3 linked regions of the Schizosaccharomyces pombe genome follow. The gene in region 1 interacts genetically with each later gene. Each region holds a gene or a part of one and is shown in the gene's direction. Other genes may lie near its edges.

Region 1 (3,520 bases):
ATGCTTTGCACCAAAGAGTAGCACAGAGACTGTTTAAAACGATTTACAAAAATGGCGGTTTATACATCAAGATGGGTCAAATCATTGCTATGCAATCAAATAATTTGCCTGAAGCGTATGGGAAAGCCTTTCAGGGAATGTTTGACAATGCACCTCAAGTTGAATGGGAAGAACTTCAAGACATATTCAAAGAGCAATATGGAAGACCAGTAGAGGAAGTATTTGCCAGCATTGAGAAACGTGCTGCTGCAAGTGCCAGTATTGCGCAGGTACATCGTGCTGTTTTACCTAGCGGTGAAAAGGTCGCGGTAAAAATTCAAAAACCAGATGTTGCTAAGCAAATGTCGTGGGATCTTCTCGTGTACAAATACATGATGTATGTTTATGATAAATGGATATTTCATATCCCTCTCTACTTTACGGTTGATTATGTCTCGGAAAGATTACGTTCTGAGGTTGATTTTACAACTGAAGCTAACAATTCGGAACATGCTCGTGAAGGGGTAGAAGAAACTGATTATTTAAGAGATAAGATATATATACCAAAGGTTTATAAAGAGATTTCTGGAAAGCGAGTAATGGTTACTGAATGGGCTGATGGCATTCCCCTCTATGATCAAACTGCTCTTTCTGAAGCTGGGATGAGCAAAAAGGAAATTTTAACGAACCTTTTCAGATTCCTTGCCTTCCAAATGTTTCATTCGAAACAAGTTCATTGTGATCCACATCCTGGAAATATCCTTGTTCGAAAAAATCAAGCAGGCTTGTGTCAAACGGTAATTTTGGATCATGGGTTATATGTATTTGAATCAGAAAAGTTTAGAAAAGAATTTGCCTTGCTTTTCACTGCAGCCTATTCATTAGACAAAAAATCTATTCTTCAGGTAATGGATGCTTGGGGGATTGGACAACCTGAGCTTTTTGCTAACCGCATGTTAAATATTCCAATGGATGAAGAGCAACCTCACACTGGTGAAAAAATTATTTCAAAGAAAGAGGCCTTCCAACAGCAGCTTGCTGAACGCAAAAAGTTCATTGGCTTCTTACAGGACTGCACTCGTTTACCGAAAGAGCTGTTAATGCTAGGTCGCTGCTTAATGCTTATTCAAAAAAATAACCAAAATTTTGGGTATCCAGTGAATAGTATAGCTGTTATGGCCAAGGTTGCTGATAAATACACTACCGACAAACCTAGTCCAACTTGGTATCAACGGCTGTTGTCGCCTATTTTTTGGGTCTTTCAACATTTATTTTACCCTGGAAATTTTCGGTTGCCTGAACTTACTAATGATAAAAAATGATATTTATAGTAAAGATTACTTTTCTTTATGGAAAGCCAATCTTTGACCATAATAATATAACTTCACATATTGCCTACTTTTCTCGATAAGACACTTCAGAGCTCCTCCTTGTAAAAGTTAAGCTCCTCCCTATACGAGTCAAACTTTGTATCGTTATTCACTATTACAGTACATCAAGCTCGGTATCTTATATGTCAATGAAGTATACTGATAATATAGTGATACTAAACCGAGTGATAAATATATATATATAGTAGATCAGTAAGGTTGAAATCTACCTACCGCATATTTAACCACAATGTCAGACTACGGGTTTGCAAATATTGAGGAAGCTAAGGCAGATGCAATTTTTAAATTAAATGCTCAATACCATCAGGATGAAGATCCCAAGAAGGTTAACATGAGTGTTGGCGCCTATCGTGACGATACTGGTAAGCCTTGGATTTTGCCTGCAGTTAAAAAAGCATCTAAAATAGTGGAAGAACAGGCAAGCTTCAACCATGAATATTTACCAATTGCTGGATTGCCTCGTTTCACTAAGGCTGCGGCTGAAGTTCTTTTCAGACCCAATCCTCATTTATTGTCCGAGGACCGTGTTGCATCTATGCAGTCAGTCTCTGGTACTGGTGCCAATTTTCTTGCTGCTAGTTTCATTGAGACTTTCTATGTAAAGCACACTGGAGCCCATGTATACATCTCCAACCCTACTTGGCCTGTCCATCGCACTTTGTGGGAAAAATTGGGAGTCACTGTAGATACATATCCTTATTGGGATGCCAAGAATAGATCTTTTGATTACGAAGGCATGCTAAGTACCATTAAATCTGCTCCCGAAGGAAGTATATTTTTACTTCATGCTTGTGCTCACAATCCTACTGGTATTGACCCCACTAGGGAACAATGGCTTTCTATATTCGAGAGTCTGCTTTCTCGCAAGCATCTGGTAGTTTTTGACATTGCTTATCAAGGTTTTGCCAGTGGTGATCTGAATCGTGACTCTTGGGCTCTAAACGAGTTTGTCAAATATAACAAGGACTTTTTCGTTTGTCAGTCATTTGCTAAAAATATGGGTCTTTATGGTGAACGTACTGGTTGCATGCATTACGTTGCAAAGGACGCTTCCACTAAAAACAAGGTCTTATCTCAATTGTGTATTGTTCAACGTAACACCATTTCTAACCCTCCCGCTTACGGTGCACGTATTGCTGCCGAAATTCTTAACAGTCCTCAATTGTTTGCTGAATGGGAACAAGATTTAAAGACTATGTCTTCTAGAATCATTGAGATGAGGAAACGTCTTCGCGATTCTCTTGTTGCACTCAAAACCCCCGGTTCTTGGGATCATATTACACAACAAATTGGAATGTTTTCTTTTACCGGTTTAACGCCTGCACAAGTCCAATTTTGCCAGGAGCGGTACCATCTTTATTTCAGTGCAAATGGTCGTATTTCTATGGCTGGTTTGAACAATTCTAATGTAGAGCATGTTGCACAGGCATTTAACCATGCTGTTCGCGAGTTGCCTTAAACTGATTATTAATACCAAAGTCACATAGATAAGTATTGGATTCATGAATACAGAATTTTGGATTGTTGTAAATTTGACGAATTTAGGAACAAATTCTTTAGCAATTTAGAGAACTAGTATATGCATTTATTCTTTGAATTTTTGAATAATATGAAGTTATCTGTTCAACTCATACACCGGGACTTCTCCTTTGTGAGTTAGACATCAGTATTTGGCTCATTATTTGCAAAACAAGTTGATATCAGTTTGTAATCGGATATGTTTAGACAAAACTGAGAAAGAGTTCTTTTTTAATAATTCATAACTTGCAAATTGATTAATGACAGAGTATTTGAATTCTTTGTTATATCGAGGTTTACTACATTAATATAATACAACTTTTAGCAACTATTAGAGCCAATACAAAGAAAAGAAGTCAAAACTTAAGTAATACAATATGAGTATGATTTTCTTTGTTTTACTTCCCTATTGTGTCAACTATAATTTTAAGCAGGAAATTTTGAAAATATCCTAATAACTCGAAAACCAGGCTAAAGCAAGGAATATCCCTCTTTGCATAAATTTTATTTCTTCTCGTGTCTTTCCTCCAATAATTAATAATTATAACATCTCTAAATGTGTATGAGTTAGTTTGTTAGGACATTTTGACTCAATAATTCTTCTCGATAAATTTAATAAAGAAAGTTGAATT
Region 2 (4,360 bases), on another chromosome or scaffold:
TTAACCGACCTTATCCGTTGCTTACGGAGCCTTAGAATACCAAAGAAAAGTGTATCAAATAGTTTGAAGGAGCGAGAACGCTTGACAGAAGTATGTTTCTTAATACCAGAACGGGAACGATTATGCATAGGGGTATTTAATTTTTCACTCGATATACATAACTTAGAGGGATCTTCAATGTTGACAGAAGTAGGAAGTTGCGATGGACTGCGCATATCATTTGCCTGCGCATCATTAGTGCCTTGACGGGTATAACTGGAATTTTGATGTGGAAGCATGGTAATAAATTTTAAGAAAAAGAGAAAATAAAAGTAAAATGGAAACAAATCACAATCAAAGGTGAAGTGATGGGATTAAAGGTTTTAATGAGAAAATAATTCGACAAATATGTAACAAAGGGAAACTTTTTTTTTGAATTACACGAAATGTTTTCAAACTTGAATTATGCACAAAATTAGAGAAACCTGAGAATAATAAATAAGCTTGATAATCCAAATAGCCAAGGGATTAATGGGATATAGGGTTGTAGTGATATTTCGGGTGTTTAATTTATTTAGAAATGGGTATAAAGTCCAGACTGTAAACAGAAAATAATCAGTAAACGAAATCTTTAGTGTTCCGTCCGAAAGAAGTTACCCTAACGAGATATGAAATTATGCGAACAGACGAAGTTTTAGAAGCCGACAATTGAATAAATAAAGGATCAAACTTGCTTAGTTTTATCGAAGGAAGCAAAGCAAGAGAACCGTGAGTAGGAAATAGAAAGTGAACAGTAATAAAAAAAAGTAAAACAGTAGGGAACGTTTTCTTAGAGCTTATTACAATTACGAAAAATAAAGCTTATCCCAATTGAGATAGTTAAAAAAAAAGGAACGAAATAAAACGATATGAAAGACAACAAAGGATGGAAAAACAAAAACAAACCGCTGAATGAATTAATCAAAAGAAAGCGGAAAAATTAATAAATACTCATCAATAGAGTAGCACAAGATGAAGCGAAGGGAGTAGGACAAGGCGTTAAGCCTGCGTTTAGTCTGAACAATAGATATAGACTAAAAAGTGAAAGACGGAATTTCAAAGTCTTAATTGGGGTATTCTATGTATATATACGTCCATATCTGGTAACATTTGCAAACCGTCTTTGATGTCAATTTAATAAGGAACCGAAGGTAACTTGCACACCTTGAGCAGTGACTGGGAGTAACACTCTCCTTGACATTCCCTCGGTACATAGGAGACGAATGAACCGAATGAACAAATAAACTAGATAGTTGCCCAAAAATGCACACAAAGCATTATCACTTTTATTAATTCAAATAACGACATACCAAAGTCGTAAAAGTTGGTAACAAACTCTTCAAATGATATTTCTACTATAACATTTTTCGTAGTACTTACCACTACGGGAGATTTGTAGAATCGGTATGATGCTGTGGAAGAAGAGTTATAGCGGGTTTCCTCAATGTGTACATGTTATTCTCATTGTACACTTGCATCTTAATTTTCACATTGCTCTCTCCCATCAATGATTTGCTTTGGAAAAACAACGGGAACAGAAATCTGGGAGGGAACGGAAAAGTATATTCATAGCAATCACAATTTAACGATAATTATTATGGTCAAATGAATACATATATTGAAAAGAATCGGTCAGCTGGATAGAAAATATGTAAACAGTGCAGCACTTATGAAGGTAATTTTATTTGTTTGCATCAGGTAGCAAGAGTTTTACGGGGATTAATAGAATTCGTTATATATACACTAACAATATAGGACGTAGTTTGTTATTGCTACCTAGTGTTGGGCGATACCAGCTAACGGTGTAGTGTATTTGGCTTTCTCTTTTGTGCATTCAGGGTTGTTGATTGCGAGTCTTATTCAATTTTATTCTGCCAATGCCGGGTTCACCAAGCCAAGAGCCTTTGGCAGAGGCCGAGTCTAATATGCTTCAAAGACTGGAGCAACTACAAATGCAAACATCGAATATTCTCAAGGAACTGCATTCTACGTCGATTTTCACGGATTCTACCACCTCACAACTTCATAATGGAGGTGAGAACTCTGTAATGGATACTGAGGAATCCTCGGCTATTGATAAATTAAGTGCCTCTTTACAGCAAGTAAACATTTCTTCACCATCAGTTCCTACCTCTCAATCTCGGGTTACCCAAGGCCAGTCATTAGGAAATACCCAAATATCTAATCCTACTTCAAAGACTAATAATGTACGAGCCAAAGCTCGGAATATTCGTAATCCCTCTCAACGTCTTCGACCCTCGACTAGTTTGGCCAGGTTATCAAATAACGCACCTCGCATTCCCAAAGAGGCATCACTACATGAGAATTCAATTTCTTCCAAGGAATCTCCTTCTGTAACGACCTCTAAACATGTCGCTACTATTACAAAACCTTCAACGTCGTCTATCGCCCGAATGTCCTCAAATGCTAGAATTGCTGCTATTCCGAGAGCGAAATCTTCAATGGCAGTTCGTTCACCATCACGCCTTGGTAATGGCCCGAATGTGCGCTCACCAAAGGTCGGCTTCAATGCAAAGTCGGATGATAGCCCCGTCGTCAAATCTCCTGGCTCTAACGACAAGCCTTCAGCTTCTCCTCGAATTTCTGTTCGTTCTCTCGGAAATTCTTCTGTCGTTCGTCCACCCACAAGGACTTCCACCACCCGTCCATTATCTAGAGTTAACGTAACAAATGCTTCCGGAAGTATCTCAAAGAATTCTACTAGTCCTTCCAAAGTAAAAGTCAACGCATCGACCAAGATCGTGCGTCCTGTAAGTGCAGCTCAGACTGTCCGACCGGGATCCAGAATCTTCAGAGAAAACTCTGCGTCCAATACTCAAAGACCCAACGTCTCTGCCACTTCTAACTCAACTGTTCGGGTAGCTTCTTCATTAGCTGTACGACCTGTTTCACGTAACGCGCAGGCGCGTACTCCCTCAAGATTAGAACAGAGAGAAGTTAATGTGAAAAATTCATCAGCTAAAATCGTTCGTCCAGGTACTTCTTTAGGTGTTCGTTCACCTTCTCGCATTCAATCCACTCTCTCTTCGAGGACAACTACAGGCAATGTTCGTACTAAAGCGGCTAATATCGTTCGTCCTTCTTCATCAATCAACCGTCGCCCTCCTTCGTCAATAAATCAACGCCCTCCTTCAAACTTGCGCATTTTGGCTCCATCTCGCTCGCGTGCAACAATTCATGAGAGACCAAGCAGTTCAATTTTACACAGGCATGCCCATTCACTAACTTCTTCATCCTTTTCCACTAAAACATTGGCTACAACCAAAGAAATTCAGAATTCGCCTACTTTGGTAGAGTCTTCGACAGTCGTTCATCATGATCCTTCTTATCTTCAAAACCAAACTTCCGAAATTAACGATACTAATCACTCTTCTCATTCGTCACCTTTGGACCTTAACAGAATGATATAAAAGTTGAGTGAGCTGCTGTAATTTGATGGCTTCTGTTCCATTTACACTTATTATTCTGCATAATTTATATCACATGTAGATGTTTTATCATAAGGATATTATTATTAAAAATAAGACAAACCATACGGGAAGAATTGGATGTTACGATTTGATATATTACTTTGTATTACTTAAGATCAGCTAATTAATAGCTTTTAAGCTGAAATTATGTTGCATAGGTTTATTCAGTTGAAAGCTTCACGACTGACTTGATGATAGTCGAGAAGTTTAGAGGGATGCGCTCTGTGTTAAAATTCAGCATGCAGCAACATCAGCATACAACCGATATGTAATAAATTAACATTAACAAACTGGCATTGTTTTCGTGCTCTATCAACTATCAGCAGTAAGTAATTGAAGACATTATGAAGTAAATGAGATTGCTGCATTACTAATTCATTTAGCAAAAAATTAAGTAAATAGAAGGGTTAATTTGTGCAACTTGTACGGTATATTTTGGATAGCGCAATTACGTTACGATTCATAACTGCAAGAATATCGAGCTACTCCAGTGCGCTTTCCTTAGGAAACCAAAACAATATTTTAGTACCTTTTTTTTAAATATTACTGACGAGTTTCATTCTGATTTCTTTTTATTACTCCTAACGGATGTGGCTTTAATACAATCATGTCAATGAACAGCTCAACGGAAATTTCTCAAGAGCCCTCTATAATGAAACCGGTATCTTCAGTAAGTATTTTTGCTATTTGAACTTCTGCGTACCTTGAGTCTCAGTTCTTGTATGAACTTTACTCTCAAATTAATGGTTGTTTGCGTAGTTAATTATTTTGGATTTATTGTTAAATCGTTCATGTTTTGTTTAACGATTTCCAAACAAAAAAAGTCTGAATATTTTACCTCTCCTTCAAAG
Region 3 (5,022 bases), 3.1 Mb from region 1:
CCGTTCTTTTTACGGGTGGCATTAAGGTCATTTTTCAATCGTTCGATATCTAACACTAAGTCTTTTATAAGGACTTTTCGAAAGACAAGCTGATTATTTTGAGGCTTATTGCGTATACTTTTAGCACGAGCAGCATACTCCAAAGTAGAAATTGTTTCTTCCAAATTAGTATTAGTAGAAGATACGGTAACGATCATAGAGGTTTTAGTCTTTCCCCCCAAAGAATCCTGCAATAGGCGTGTAAGCTTGGACTCACGGTATGGAATATGGTGGGCCTTTTCCACTAATGCATTAATTACTCGGCCTAATGTTAATAGTGATTGATTGATCATTCCAGTTTCTCGAGCACGTTTGTTTTCAGCTCCAGAACGTCCAATGTTCTCGCTTCCAGCCAAATCAACCATATGAAGTTTGCTGGCGCGCAGCAAGTCATCAGAGTTATTATTTATGGTAAGTGAATTAGTTTCATCTGTCATTCCCGAAGATACCTTTCTATGCAGAGTTATCGTGAAGATTGAATGACTACGAGATGAAAGATCGTTACACTTTGTAGCAGCAACTTGACGCCGGTGAGAGCCTTCACGTAACAATCGCAACCCATCGCCAGCATTTTTTATATAACTTTCTTCAATACCAGTAATAACAACGTTCCCTCTCCGCGAAGTATCTTCAAAAACACGAGCTGGCTTTCGCAATTCTTCGGAAACCAAAAGATCGCGAATTTCCTCGTTGTAAAGTTCATAATAGGAGCATTTGACAGCATATTCTTGATTACTGTTGTCCAAGGAGGAAAATAATTGATAAAGGGCACGAGGAATAAGGCCTGCTCCTTCAGACAAAATTCCATCGGAATCGCTAAGATCACCAGACATAGTATATGTTTTACCGGTTCCAGTTTGTCCGTACGCAAATATAGTACAATTATAGCCGTTCAATACTTGCTCCAGCATGGGCGCTACCGAATTTTCGAATAGCATTAACTGGTCAGCTTCAGGACCAAAGACTTTATCAAAGGCATACGTCTTCGTGACCAACATGGATGAAGGATCCGACTGGATGGCCAATTCAGCACCCATAGCGCCCGAAGTCGATACAGCAAGGCTACTATTGTCGCGTACTTCTTGGTCTGTACGACCACGAACACGGACGACTACGTTAATATTGGTTTCGTTCTCATCATGAAGTGCATGATCTGTCGGAGAATTAGTGTCGGAGCGATCTGGGTACCCAGTGTCAATAGTAGGAGGCTCACGTCGTTTCCTAGGATTGCTCGCAGAGCGGAAATGTGAATTTGGAGTAGAAACCGGGTTTTTAGCTTTCAACCCCTGCTTTCCTAGAAATTGTTGTGAGCCACCAGGTGCAACTCTAGGGGCCATTCGGTTTTATGAGTAAGGATTGTTACAAAGAAAGCGACAAGGTTGTTAATTTAAATTGCAATTCTGTTGTAAAGTTCAATAAACCACAATATAAAAAAAAGGGGTAAATTTAAAATAGGAAAAGATCGTAAACGTCTGTTTTTAGGGGTAAAAAGAATGAATAAATTGGACAATTGTCGCTCCTGAGTATGTTGTTGAATTGTTGTAAACAAGAACGAGGACTCAGACACGGTAACACTTGGAATGTCTCATTCCAATGTTTTGCAGTACAAATCAACAGTATAAAAAGAGAAAAAAGAACTTTTATGAAAAATCCAACAATTGTGCTAATACTAAAAATCAATACAAAATGAACGAACTTGGCAGATAAACTGTTGTCAGTAATGATAATAGTCAAAATCGGTAGAATGAGTTAAAATCTAAAAAAGAAGAAATATAAAACAGAATCAACTTTATTAGTTTATTTTAAATGATACCATGTTTTTTAAATTCTACTTTTCATTACTTTCAATTTTTTTTAAATTTCTCTAAAGTTACTCTTCGATGTCCCCCCAGTCACTGGGTGAAGAAACTTGACTAGAGACAACGGCACTACACCAGAAATGTCGGAAATCCTAATTGAGGAAATTAAGGATCAAATCGTCGTAAAGGACGAGGAAATCGATGTTTCTGAACTGGAAGTTAAGCTTAATGTAACTAAACCTGTTGGATATGACACGGTTGTAGTAATCGAAGGTGCTCCAGTTGTCGAAGAAGCTAAGCAGCAAGATTTCTTCCGTTTTTTGAGCTCAAAAGTCCTTGCTAAAATTGGAAAGGTTAAGGAAAATGGATTTTATATGCCATTTGAGGAAAAAAATGGAAAAAAGATGTCTCTTGGACTAGTTTTCGCCGATTTTGAAAATGTTGATGGCGCCGATCTTTGCGTTCAAGAGTTGGATGGAAAGCAAATTTTAAAAAACCATACTTTCGTTGTTCGTAAGTTGAATCAACTCGAAAAAGCTTTTAGCACTCCTGATGAATTTAGTTTCGAAGAACGTGAATTTAAGGAGCGCGAACATTTGCGTAGCTGGTTAACTGATTACTATGGTCGTGATCAATTTATCAGCTATTACGGTAACCGTGTATCTGTTAACTGGAACCGTAAGAGCGACGTCCCTGAACAGATTGTGGATCGTGAAAACTGGACCGAGACCTACGTGCAATGGTCTCCCATGGGCACTTACCTCGTATCACTTCATCTTCGTGGTATTCAATTATGGGGTGGGGAATCTTGGGGAATGTGTGCTCGTTTCTTGCACCCCTACGTAAAATTTGTCGACTTCAGCCCTAACGAGAAGTATCTTGTTTCATGGTCCTATGAGCCTGTTCGACTTCCTCCCATCGGACATCCGGCTCGTGAAACAATGCCTTTCACTGATGATGATGAAGGAAAACATTGCTTCGTTTGGGATATTGCCTCTGGTCGTATTCTTCGTTCTTTTAAGATTCCTCCTCAACCAGAAGGTTCAAAGGATGGCAAAAAAGTTATTTGGCCTATTTTCAAGTGGTCTGCCGATGATAAATACCTTGCTCGCGTTACTGTTGGTCAGTCGATTTCTGTTTATGAGACACCCTCCCTTGCTTTGGTTGACAAGAAAACTATCAAGATCGACGGTGTGCAAAATTTTGAATGGTGCCCAGTTTCAGATGCTCTCGGACGTGATTCCAAGGAGCAGCTTTTAGCTTACTGGACCCCTGAAATTACCAATCAACCTGCTCGCGTTGCCTTAATTAGTATTCCTTCAAAATCAACTATCCGTACGAAAAATCTTTTCAATGTTTCCGACTGTAAGTTGTACTGGCAGTCTAATGGTGATTATTTATGTGTTAAGGTTGATCGTCACACAAAAACTAAGAAATCAACATTCTCTAACCTTGAAATATTCCGAATTCGTGAGAAAAATATTCCCGTTGAAGTAGTGGATCTTAAGGATGTTGTTCTCAATTTTGCCTGGGAACCTAAGAGTGATCGTTTTGCCATAATTTCAGCTAATGATCAAGTTTTAAATTCTACAAATGTAAAAACTAATTTATCGTTTTATGGTTTTGAGCAGAAAAAGAACACCCCTAGTACTTTCCGTCATATCATTACTTTTGATAAGAAAACATGCAATTCACTTTTTATGGCGCCTAAGGGTAGATTTATGGTTGCTGCAACCCTTGGTTCCTCTACTCAATATGATTTGGAGTTTTACGACTTAGATTTTGATACCGAAAAGAAAGAACCGGATGCTCTTGCCAATGTTCAGCAAATAGGTTCTGCCGAGCACTTTGGTATGACTGAGCTGGAGTGGGATCCTAGTGGTCGATATGTTACTACTAGCAGTACTATTTGGAGGCATAAGCTTGAGAACGGTTACAGACTTTGCGATTTTAGGGGCACACTTCTTCGTGAAGAAATGATTGGAGAATTTAAGCAGTTTATCTGGCGTCCGAGACCTCCTTCTCCATTGACAAAGGAAGACATGAAGAAAATTAGAAAGAAACTTAAGGATTATAATCGTTTGTTTGATGAAGAGGATATCGCCGAACAGAGTTCCGCCAATCGTGAATTGGCAGCCCGTAGAAGACAGCTCATTAGTGAGTGGCAGAAATATAGGGATGAGGTTATTGCTCGGGTTGCGGAAGAACGTGCAATCACTGGCCAACCTGCTATCACTGTTCCTGCTGAAGAAGAAGAAATAATTCAGGAAACGGTTGAGGAAGTAATCTCTGAAGAGATAGAACCCGTTGAAGATTAAGGGCTTTACGCTACCTTTTGTCATAAAAAAATTGGGGCCTTCTTCGAAATCGGATGTTACTTGATTAAAATCATGATCTTGTTGCCGCAATTATGTGTTCCTGGACGTGTATTTGCGTTTCGATTGGTACTGTATGGGGAAATTTATATTTACATTAGTCCTTTTAAATGGAATTGCATTTGCGTTACATACTACTGTATATAAGTAATATAGCGTTCTTAATAGTTTTGTGAATGTCCGAGTATTATTTGACTCAAGAAAGTTTCTAAATTCATATTGTCTTAATGCACTCTAGAGATTTAAACATAAACATTTTATTGGTAAATAAAGTATAAACAAGCCAATTTAAAGAGATAATTGATAGCTGCAGAATGAGAAAATATATCATTCATAAAGAGCGCATAAAAATTAGAAACACTACAAAAACTCAACGTTTGATATGAGTACAAACAAAAGTTAAGCCACTAAGACAAATTCCCATACCAAGCGGATGAATTGCCGTCAGAAGCGTCTAAAACTCGTCCTGCTATGGGCTTGCTTTTATCCGTCGTAACCGTTTTTTTCAACCGAGTGCCAGTATGAATTTGTTGAAGTAAAGCACTACGATCTCCTGGATTGGGAACAGAAGGAGCCGATGAAGCAGGAAGAGGTGGTGGTGGAGCAGACGGTGGACCGGCAGGCATTGGCGGTGCAGATGGAGGTGGTGGTACTGACATAGGAGGAGGTGGTGGTGTTGGAGCAGACATTTGAGGTGGTGCCGCCGATTGAGGTCTTACAGGAGGTGTTGAAACAGGATGAGCAGGAGCCATACCACCGAATAATTTGGCGGCTAAGGCAGCTGCATCTTTACTTGAACGTATGTCATC

Evidence for each region.
Region 2: mutations in caa1 (region 1) and mmb1 together harm fitness more than expected from each alone (negative genetic interaction), as found in Schizosaccharomyces pombe (one large-scale study listed by BioGRID).
Region 3: mutations in caa1 (region 1) and tif302 together harm fitness more than expected from each alone (negative genetic interaction), as found in Schizosaccharomyces pombe (one large-scale study listed by BioGRID).

What each region holds. Positions count from the first base shown.
Region 1 is NC_003424.3:1,230,097-1,233,616, reverse strand, and holds caa1 (aspartate aminotransferase), read left to right. Parts: upstream 1-1,577; 5' UTR 1,578-1,599; coding exon 1,600-2,829; 3' UTR 2,830-2,977; downstream 2,978-3,520. Other genes in the region: SPOM_SPAC10F6.14C (ABC1 kinase family protein), read left to right, coding at 1-1,301. UniProt on the Schizosaccharomyces pombe protein: Plays a key role in amino acid metabolism.
Region 2 is NC_003423.3:2,608,127-2,612,486, reverse strand, and holds mmb1 (mitochondrial microtubule binder Mmb1), read left to right. Parts: upstream 1-1,846; 5' UTR 1,847-1,943; coding exon 1,944-3,449; 3' UTR 3,450-3,799; downstream 3,800-4,360. Other genes in the region: SPOM_SPBC25B2.08 (uncharacterized protein), read right to left, coding at 1-278; BTB/POZ family ubiquitin-type ligase substrate adaptor Btb2, read left to right, coding at 4,117-4,179. UniProt on the Schizosaccharomyces pombe protein: Involved in the cell polarity process and in regulation of microtubule growth. Has a role in meiosis. Involved in microtubule dynamics.
Region 3 is NC_003424.3:4,308,601-4,313,622, forward strand, and holds tif302 (translation initiation factor eIF3b (p84)), read left to right. Parts: upstream 1-1,960; 5' UTR 1,961-1,978; coding exon 1,979-4,156; 3' UTR 4,157-4,461; downstream 4,462-5,022. Other genes in the region: kinesin-5 family plus-end directed microtubule motor, bimC subfamily Cut7, read right to left, coding at 1-1,376; pan1 (actin cortical patch component protein PanI), read right to left, coding at 4,621-5,022.